Schizosaccharomyces pombe: one gene and its partner. The protein of the gene in region 2 interacts with the protein of the main gene of each other region in a pairwise test. Each region holds a gene or a part of one and is shown on either strand. Other genes may lie near its edges.

Evidence for each region. Proteins that work in one complex are often made in the same cells at the same time.
Region 1: the proteins of pep7 (region 2) and vps45 interact in a two-hybrid assay, tested with the Schizosaccharomyces pombe proteins (one large-scale study listed by BioGRID).

Annotation. Positions count from the first base shown.
Region 1 is NC_003424.3:810,516-816,265, forward strand, and holds vps45 (vacuolar sorting protein Vps45), read right to left. Parts: upstream 3,640-5,750; 5' UTR 3,456-3,639; coding exon 3,301-3,455; exon of another isoform or gene 3,252-3,300; coding exon 3,044-3,251; intron 2,958-3,043; coding exon 1,677-2,957; exon of another isoform or gene 1,625-1,676; coding exon 1,592-1,624; 3' UTR 1,528-1,591; downstream 1-1,527. Other genes in the region: ribosome biogenesis protein Urb2, read left to right, coding at 1-1,527; rbm17 (G-patch type RNA-binding protein), read left to right, coding at 3,936-4,841; alx1 (BRO1 domain-containing protein), read right to left, coding at 5,000-5,750. UniProt on the Schizosaccharomyces pombe protein: Vacuolar protein sorting-associated protein involved in Golgi-to-vacuole protein transport.
Region 2 is NC_003424.3:3,599,575-3,604,714, reverse strand, and holds pep7 (FYVE tethering component Pep7), read right to left. Parts: upstream 2,999-5,140; 5' UTR 2,837-2,998; coding exon 1,226-2,836; 3' UTR 811-1,225; downstream 1-810. Other genes in the region: translocation subcomplex subunit Sec62, read right to left, coding at 1-623; SNARE protein Use1, read left to right, coding at 3,860-4,528; rps2401 (40S ribosomal protein eS24), read right to left, coding at 5,139-5,140. UniProt on the Schizosaccharomyces pombe protein: Required for vacuole segregation and vacuole protein sorting. Possibly part of a complex which tethers the vacuole membrane to microtubules, either directly or via kinesin or dynein-like motor proteins.

The DNA.
Region 1 (5,750 bases), 2.8 Mb from region 2:
CGTGATCCTAAAATTATCATAGATCTCATGCAATTCGGTAAAACAGATTTATCGTTTCATAAAGTACATGTATTGATAATGAGATCTTGGATTCAACATCTTGATGAGGGAAATAAAAGCGAAGTTATACTAAAATTACTTCAGCTGATTTTAGCTGATTTTCGAGAGCTACCTTTGGAAACCATTACATTAATTTTCAATGCCTTAGTGGACTCTTTACCTACTTCAAAGCATATTAAAAATTCCAACGATATATTGTCTAGCGTTTTTACGATTAACGACATGTTGATTGATGAAATGACAGCTTATCTTTCTAAGAAAGAAAGTTTATGCAGTGGTACTTTCTCATGCCTTTTAGCCTGTTGCAATTCTGTGTTAAGGACTCAAAACTTAACTAGCGAATCATTGAATAAGTTACACATACTAAAAGTGGGTATTGAGGAGAAAGCGATATCTTTGAAATTAAACGAATTGCCTTTTTTGGAGAATTGGATTTTGTTCCAGTGTCTTTTAAGTTTTGGTGGTGATGACTTTTTAAAAGTTGTGGCTTACATGGTGTACTATCGGCGTACGGTAGGAGAAATGAGTTTCAGAGTATCAGATTTTGAACTTGCGTTATCTAGGCTTTCTACTAATGATGCAGATTATGCTATTTTGAATATTTTAAATTTGCTTACGTCTAATGAATGTGACGAATTTGATTATTCTGTCCTTATGAAAGTTGTGGGTGTTTTTGCAAATTACTCTGACTGTTTCCAGCGTAATAGACACCTGGTGCATATGGTATTGTTGTGCTGCACGCATGTTTTCTACAATCAAACTTTAAAGCCCGCTACTTTAATAGACTCTGCTCTAGATGTTTTTCTGTGTTTCGTTCAAAAGACCTCTAAGTTTATTTCTTTAGACTCTTTCAATACTATACTTACGGCTTTATCTACAATTCTTAATTTAAAAGAACTAGAGTGCGAACCTAAAGATCATGCAAATTTAATCTTAAAAATTATTCAAATTTTAAATGGTCTCCTATTTAATCATCGATCTTATATGTCAGGACGTTTTCATGTATTTTACAGCATTTTGAAAAGCTTGTTATATAGTATGGTTCAACATGACAGTGAAATGAAAAAAATCAAAGGGATCGCTCTCATGAATTTCTATAAACCAAAAAAAGTTCCCATTCATGTTGTTCAGTCTTTTTGTAGACTACTTACAACGTGGATGAATCCGAATCTTATGCATGACTCAAACAAGAAAAATTCTTCGCTTACGGACGCCGAAAGATTATTCGTAAAAGCTACGACCAAGCATTTTGTTTTTCTTTTGACCGACTTTATGTCCGCCCAAACTGTTTATCAAATCGATATACAAGTCAAAGAACTTTTAACAAACTGCTTTTACAATGTTTATGAAAATCTTTCAAATCACGAAAAGCAAATGGCTTTGGTCGCAATGAACGCTCCAAGCAAATCTCTTTATCAAAAATTCGTTAACGATTACTTAATATTTGCTAAGTGGAATGAAGCATAAAAACCTTAAGAAAAATGCTTGATAGCTATAAAAGTTTTGTTTTGGAAAAATTCTGCGTTTTGTTTTATTTTATTCTGGTTGACATATACATAATATCCTAAATGGTTAGTGGTTATATAATTAATAAGAAATTTTTGAAGTTGACTTACATCAATGTAAGCGGTAGAATTAAGAATTGTTGTACCCGCAAGAATTATACGTACACCAGGTTGAGTAGCATTAAATTCCGAAACAAAATGAGCTTCCTCATACGTTGCACCCCCTACTATAACCACAATAATGTCTTGAGGCTTTTCATTAGACGTTTGAGCTCTTGTTTCAGAGTTCAGAAAAGGGTGTGTGGTTTCCTTGAGTCTTCCTTGAATCAGGTCCAACAGAATTGATTTCAAAAAAGGATTATGCTGAATGTACACATTTTCAACACCTCTTAAACCCTTTAAACCACTACGGGCACGCGAAAAAAGGTTGGATGGTGGAAATACATCACCTTGGCGAAATGAATATCCAGCCACATGCAATAAAGTAGGAATGACAGAAACTTTCAGTGGATTGACACCTCCAGCTATGAGCATTTGTTGGAGTGCCGAAACCTTAGCAGGATCGATTCTTTCAAAACGAAGGGAGTATAATGCCGCAAGACGTAACTTCGTATTTTCAGATATATTTGAAAACAAGAGTCGTTGTATATCATTGAAATCGGTGGATTGAGGTTCATTACATACCAGAGATTGTTCAACTTCACCAACTTCTAACAAGTTCTCTCGCTGAACCACCTGCGAAATTTCGCTTACGAGAGAAACATGTTTACTTACGTTTCCAGATAACCTCCTGTATTCAGGATACGCTTCTAAAAATTGTTTCATATCCGCAATGCTTTCAATTTCGCTAGCTTTTTTTGTAGATTTGGTTTGCAAGTGTGAAACATAATCCTTTATTTTAACGCCTAAATCACCAAAGTTGTCAAACCTAGTTTCTTTATAAAAGGGATCCAATGTCGGATTTAAAACAATTTCAGTTGATTTTTCATTATCAGACGTTGAGTTCGAAAAACTAACTCTTCCATTATCAATCCCAAATAATTCATGAACCATGGCTTGATAAGTCCACTGGGTTAAAAGAGGAGTAATAGGGTCGTTTTTACGATCAAGTAAAAGAAGTATTGGTGCAGTGTCAGGCTTTCGAAAATTAAATAATTGAGATTCATGCTGAATTGTATAACTGACTTCTTCAGCAAGCTTAAGGCACAATAAACTATTGTTATCGTATCGAATAACAGGCTTTTTCTTTAAAGATAGTAAAAGAGAAATAATGCCTTGATGAGTTCTATGAAAAGCACCATCTTGCCAATTGTCTGGTGAATCTTCAATGATATGGGGGATGTTGAAGGAAGCAAGATCATTGTTTACCACTAAATAGTCTAAAAAAAATTCCTAAAATACGTGTTAGAGATTGTTAAGCGTTTTGTAAATCTCCATAACATTGACTTATAAGCAATGTGTAAAACGTAGTTGCTTACTTGAATACTTTTAACAGCCTCAAAGTCGTCGGACTCCGCCAACCGTTCGAGAAAACTCTTGGGAATGACATTTGTAAAATATAAGTGATATTCAGCGTATTTAGGATCTCGTAGCTCTTCGCATAAAAGACGAAGGGTAGTTGGAGTAGGACGTAAGAAAGCCACACACTTGAGATGTCTCAACTTTTCACGTTTATTACCGAGTAAGCTAAAGTCAACATTAGCATAAGTATTAGAAAAACAACTATTAACTGTACACTGTTAAATAAATCTGCTGCTCCAGCAAATTTGATTGGGTTATACATGAAGATACAATTTTTGTGGTGTCCTCTTCAAGCAACAGAATTTTCAAATCCGAGACTTCCTGAAATATACGCTTAAAGTAAGATTGGGAAGCTGATACTAAATCCATGAATTTTATGCAATTGACTTAAATTCGTATAAAGGTGATACCAAGTGACCACAAATTTACGAACGTGTTCAAATAGGAAGACTACAGGGAGTCAGGCTAACTCTTGATTATGAAAAATGTTGAAGAATAGCCAACACTGGAATTAGAAGGAATAGTTAAACGGTTCAAAGATAAGTTCAAGTTTAAAAGTGTTGCAATGTAAGCGCTTTGATGGTGTATAGTAATTAGTTTCAGTAACCTCACCACCACTTAGGTAATTTGTTAAACTGTCCACAACTCCACAATTAATCAATGCATATATAAGGTAATTTAAATTTTTGAAGAATAGCCTGCTTCCTTAGTCTATCGATGTCAATATCTAATTTAACTACTCCTTAAAAAGTGCCTTGGAATTAAAGCAGCTGGAACACTGTAACCTACTTTCATAGCCTAGCTTGAAATTCTGTTATTGCTAAACATTGTATTTGAGTCACAAACAAAATGGGCTTTATGCTTTATGAAGGAATTGACTCAAAATCAATTGAAGAAATAACCGAAGAAAGTGAGAAAACTAAAACTGACTTACAAAAAGCTAACACACCTAATAAAACCGAAGCCGTTCATTCGTTAAACAACACATGTTCAGAACAAAACAGTGGTACAAAAGATTACCTTAATAGCTTACAGTTTCTGCCATCAAATTTCCGACCGAAAACCCACAAAAAGAAAAAAAGTGTTTCGAGTTATCTATCTTCTACAATCCAGAAGAATGCAAACGAAAACATTCCTCATGTGCAATGTCGAAATGATTCACAATCTACTGTTACTACCAGAAATCCAACTCCCTTTAAAATTGAAGTGGGGATTTATCCAAGTAAGCCGAATAATTTAAATAAAGAACCTCCTGCATCAACTGTTCATTCAGATAATCTTGGGGATGCAGTTGAACACGAATGGGTGGAGCTATATGACCCTTTATTCCCAACCAGCTATTCAGTTTTTAAAGAATCTGATTATGCAAATTTGTGTGAAACAAATTGGAGTCATTATGTTAATCAAGTTCCCTCATTGTCAATTGAGGCAAAACTTTCCAACATTGTAAATGCCTCAAAATCCGGAATTGGACCTCCTCCTAGCCTATTAAGTCATGCAACTTTAGCACGGCCGTCTGAGTCAATGGTTTTATCAAACAATATTGCTGCGGAAGATCTAGATTTTTTTAAGAAATCACCCCCAGTTCCTGCTATATCTAAAAAGGAAAATGTAGCGTTAAAAATGCTTCAACGGTGTGGATGGAAAGAAGGTCAAGGTCTTGGTCAGCACAATCAAGGCATTATTAATCCACTCCATGTAGAAATCTCGGGTTTCGTTACAGAAACTAAGCACTCTAAAATTAATGATAAATGAGGAGAATCTTAATGTTAATTTTTTTATCAACGTGTAATTGTATATTTTATTAGTTAAATTAACGGGGCTTAATGAAAATGAAATTTCTTAATCAACTTTTAAAGATAAAATTTGAACATGTATGCGGATTTAATACTATATGATCACATATGATAATCCTATTTTTTTGACGATTTAAACTTGATTTTATGGATTTCAGGATTGAAAGCATTGGAGGAAGAATGCTGCAATTTAATTTTGTTAAGCCGATTTTCGTTTTCATACCTGTTTTCATATTGACTATAACGTTCCTCTGCTCGACAAATAATATTGTATAGCTCACGAGCTATTTCTGTTTCATTGCGTACTGTTTGTAATAAAAATTTATACTTTTTCTCAGTTTCTTGTGAGAATGAAAGAATTTTTGAAATTTCAGAACACTCTGCCTGTACTTTGAAAGAATTTAGGTAGCTTTTCAGTTTTTCAACATTCTGGATTATAATTTCTTGCCTTTCCCTTTGTCGTCTAAAATTCCACTTGGCATCAACAGCTTCTCTAAAGCATTTTAAAAGTGAATGAATGTCGGTGTGATTTGAGTACATGGAGATGTTAAAATAATCATTACTCCCTAATTTTTTTAACATATTTCTCTCGTCTTTAAGCAAATCCCACTGTGCCAAGTAAGAGTTTGCTTGCAATAATAATTGATCTGTATTGGGATTTTTTTTCTCAGCCAAGTTTGACAAAATTCTTTCAGACTGGGCAGATAACTCAAAGATGTCCTTGCCAAAGGCACTGATATCTTTTTGAATGGTATCCTTTGCGTTTTGAGAATTTTCAACATTGACTTTTAAAAGTGATACTTCCTCATGTAACTTTATAACATCGCTGTAAAATCCTTTTTCTTTCATGTTTTGGGAAGACTTTACC
Region 2 (5,140 bases):
CCAACGTCGGCAAGAAGATTGGGGAATAGCCAAATGCCAGGGCGCACGATGACAGCAGTAATGCAAAATAAGAAAAAACGTAAAATAACCAAAACAAAGAATAGACCGATTACTCCAAGGCCTCCCATACTTAAATACCAAGCACCCTTGCGCATAAACATTGGCCACAAGGGGAACAAAACGAGTGCCAATACGACAAGAGCGAACAGTACTGCCAAAGCCATAACGCGTTTTGGAAGAGGCTCGTAGAGCCAAACATAATGCATATCGTCTTGAAAATCTTGATTACGATTTATCTGTAATTCTACAAGCTTCTGCTTTCTTTGTTTAGGGGGGAGTTTATCAACGCGAACCAGCATCGAATTCATAATGAGCAATTTGAGAACTTCGATTGCTTCCTCACGGCTTGAAATTTCTGGAAACCCTTTGTATTTCTTAGGCGTATACGCTTCGGATGTTAAAAAGCGAAGAACACGCTTCACACGAAAGTAGTATACACGTTTTCCATTGAGGATCGCTGGCTTTGTTTTCAGCTCAGGGCGAGACTTGAGGAAGTTTGTAAAGCGCATCGAAAACTTGCACTTGTCTTCATCCTTCAAAACTGGTACATTAGAAGAATCCATAGGCAAAATCCTTGTTTGGAAAAATCTAAAATAATGTGGTTCTGGAGTAGATGAAGTCTGTACACGTCTTTAAGGTAACGATATTTAGGTCACGAGGTAAAGCCAAAATCAAAATTCAGTATTATAGATTTGGGAAAATCTATATTATAAATTTTACATTTAGTTTAATCATTGTTATTATCATGCTGTCGAATATTGATTCATTCTTTAAGTAAATTTGTAAAGTTGGATAGTTCAAAAAGTTAATTCAGTCTTAAATTTTTGTGCCTGTGCCCCATATTCATAACTTAATTATACTATAACACTTGAAAAAAATATTTGATTATTAGGGAGAGTAAAGCACTGATTAAGGAATACTAATCTTCAGAAGTTAACTCTAAAAAAGATGCTCTTCCTATTCAACTTAATTGATAACATTCATTGCTGTTCGACGAGGAAAGCAAAGTCTTCAAATTCATTTCATCAATAAATATTTATCTATACAATTATTCACTCATCCATCATATGACTAACCTTCGCAACACATTAACTAGGAAATTTTGATTACATAAAAGTGAAACAGCATCATTAAACAAGTCAAATTTCCTTTATTGAAAAAATCCTCAAATATCAAAAAGATCCAAGTCATGAATCTTTTCAGTGATTGAATGAATTTCCTCATGCAAAGGTGCAAGACTGGAGAGTAAAGTCTCTACCTCAGAAAACTTTCGTTTCGCTTTAGCATCTTCAATCATATTTTCAACGAGGAAAACTTGCTCCTCTAAAACTATTCTTGTTTGCATCAACTCTTCTTGCTTCTTTTCAACTTGCTCTTTCTTCTTTTCTAGCTCACGTTCAGACTCAGAAGTCCAAGCTTGGCCAACCTGCAAATGGTAAGGAATGGCCTGCAAACGCAATATGGTTTCTTGTAAATATCTTTTTGCTTCATTAACAACATTCTGCTTAAATTGTTCTTCAGCATCATTGGATGAGGGATGATTGGCGATTTTTTTCATAGTTCCATCATATTTCACACATAGCTCAAGAAATTTTTTTCGTCTATCTTTTACTATTTTCAGGGTCGCTTCAGTGATTATTTCACCACTTAGTAATTCAGACAAAGAATCCTCGTAAAGTCGATAGTAATTTACCATAGCCTGTCTAAAAACTTGCAAGTGTTCAATATGTCGGATGTAGCCAAGTGATTTCGATCTTTCCGTTTGATAAAGAACGTTACGGAAATAATTTTGATTGCAACTCATACAGATGAGGAGAGGTTGCGGGTGTTGAGGAAGACTAATCTCTAATACACAGAATCTGCAGATCACGCGTCCGCAAAGCCGACAATGCCGGCGTCTTCTAGTTAGAGTAAAAGAATTGTTGCATTCAGGACAAATTTGTACAACGGAATCATCTTGCCAATGAACGATGCTTTGCTCCAGCCTTTTAGCCTTGTTCAAAAGAAGCGCATCAAGCATCGAGACATTTTCCGATGTCCATAGCTCTTCAAGTTTTTTCATACGTTTGCTTAATCTTAAAAACTCTATTCTTCTTTTATCAGCTAAAGGTTTTCGAAAAGTTTCGAATGTTTGAAAACGTGAGCGAATTAAACCATTTGAATCATTATACCCAGGACGTCCTTCATAACATTCTCGACAAACACGACACCAAAATCCATTTTCAGAGTCGTAGGTAGCATGAATACTGAGTTTGATCTGGTACATTGAGTGAAAGTTGCAGAAGATATAACCGCATTTACGACAATGAATATGACCATTGATGAAATTTAAAAGCTTATCACACATCGGGTCATGGCAGACCATGTCAGGAACCTCTGGTTGCCAGTGATTTTTGACAACCAAGGAATCTGTGAGCTTAGTTGCTTCAAGGCCGACAGCACCTGATGAATCCCCATTCTGTTCATATGGTTCCATTCTCCAAAGACGTTGAGCGGCTTTCATTTGCAGAGCTGAAGCACCATTTAAAGTCCTTGTTAGCCATGAATTAATGGAATCTTGTCGCTTGTGGATTTTTTCATTATCATTGAAATGAGTAACATCGAGATGATCATTTAATGCTGACAAATTTGGTAATTCCAGCCCACAAATTGGGCATTCAGTGGCTTTAACGATATTTGAAGAATCACTTTGAGCACTAGTAGAAAGATTAGTCCCGGAATGATTGCTCAAATTGGAAGAAATTCGGACTCCAATACGTCTTTTACCATTTTGCATAGTAATCCCTCTGAACTTGATTTTTAGACGAGAATTTCAGGCAATTGAAGCCTTTTCAGTGGCTATATAATTAAAAGTAGCTAAAGTTTATAAATTATTATTACACAGAGCTTGCTCTTGCAAAGGTGCTGAATTCGCCTGACGGTAAGAATTATCACTGTTAGAAGAGTAGACAACTGGTTAACCTGGTGGAATGCTAAACACAGAATAAACAAACATTAGAAATTTAATAAATTAAGTTGTTTAAAATAAAATTATGAGAGATTCTAAAGAAATCACAAATCCTCTGATCAAATAATTAAAGAGTTAGACTGCAATTTTGTTTAATTTTCAATTCAGGAAAACATCCGGTCTGAATAAATTGAAATAACGACAAATGGAGTTACAAGGTATGTAGTCTTTAGCAGTGCTTATTTAAATAAGAAGAAAGATCGCTTTATCAAAAATCTAACACGAAGGCAGCCTGGTCGTCTTTGCGTACTATAAGTGTTATTTCAAAATTTGCCAATGCAATGGCAAGGAATGCAACTCAAGATCCTTGCGTTTTTAAAGATTCTGTCAAGTTTATTTACAACATATATCCTCCATGACTTGAAATATATAGTAAGGTAAATACGCTAATGTTTATTGACACCTTTAAGTTAAGGCATTACGGTTCATGCAATTCTTTTAACATAAGGATTATTAAGCTTCTCATACTTCATTAGATTGAGATTAAAATAGCATTTTATAGTCAAGGCACTTGGTACAAAAATACGTATTCAAAGAGAAATACGGTTTTAATTAAATGTTAGTACATCCTTATAAATGAATAATATATAAAATACTATAATCGTCTACTCTGAAACCCAAAATACTCATACAAGGTGAAAATTAGTATGTGTATAAGATGACATGCACCTGATAACCTACTCAACTCAAACTACTTATAAAATATCAGGAACCCCAGTTTAAAGCGCTTTACATAACTTTCTTTATAGGAGAGAGATATTCTTATGAAATGCTCACTCCATAGGCTTTAAAATGAGTAAAGATTTGATCAGTAGGTTGGAGCGACAATTCAAGTTGAAACGTGATGAGTTTCAAGACCCATTGGAACTTTTAAAATTTGAAAAGAATCTTGATTATGCAAGGAAATTATTATGGGAAGAAGGAAAATGCCAACTTGACAAAGTTGCTGAACCTCAAGGGCTTTCGAAGAGAATCATGGATTTACAGGGTAGGATTTATGATTTAAATGTTACCATGGAAAAAAAGCTGAAAATTGAAGAGAAAAAGATAAAAAGTAAACAAGAGAAGGAGATCGCGCATGCTCTTCAGAGTATTCAAGAAAGGGAGCTTAGAGAGCGACAACAGATGTCGAATGTCGAAGCTTCCAATGCCCAATTGCTCACAAACCAGCGTTCAATGCAAACTGAGATATCTGAGTCACTTTTGCATTTGGCATCTGTTCTAAAAGAAAACGCTTTATCTTTCACAAATGCTCTAGTAACTGATAATCAAGTGGTAGAGCGTACAGGAAGCTTACTCGACAAGAATGCCCACAGTCTGAGACATGCCAACCACGGTGTTCAAAGCTACTCTAAGTCAAAAAGGCTGTCTTTTTGGCTACAGTTAGGAATGATCATTGCTGTAGTTGTTTCTTTTATCGTGATGATCTTTATCCTACAGTTTACCAAAAATCAAAATTAATTATTTTATTTTCGTAAAGAATTCTCGGACTGCTTCCTTTTGTTGATAAATTTTTTTCCCCTTAAGTTATCGCAGTGGTAACAGTACACCCGTTTCTTTTTAATATACATTTTGATACACAACCATTATTGTTGTTTCAAGTTGTTTTCTTACTCGAACGTATTCATGTTTTTTTTGTATTTGAGATCAATGCGTAGATGATATAAGTAAATTGAATAACCAAAGCATACGCAATTTACCATTGTTTTATTTCATTTAACCTTTTTCCAACAGCTGAGTCAATATTAGCCCATTCCTTTATCAATTGACACTGCCCTCAACTCTTATGTTTTTAGTAAATAAGAAACAACATCATTACATTACAAAACTATTAAACTATCATAAAATACAACATATACCGCATGTTCAAAAATTATTATATTAGAGATCAAACTCTAGTTATTGAAGATTATTTACTTCATTCACTACTGTTCACACGAAAGCTGAACAATATTATTTTAGGCAACACGTAATTAAATCCGTTCGAATACAACAATGCATTTCCATCAAGTGAATACATCTCATTACTTTATGAAAATTATTTTTCTGAACCAAGAAAAAATAAGATTGCCT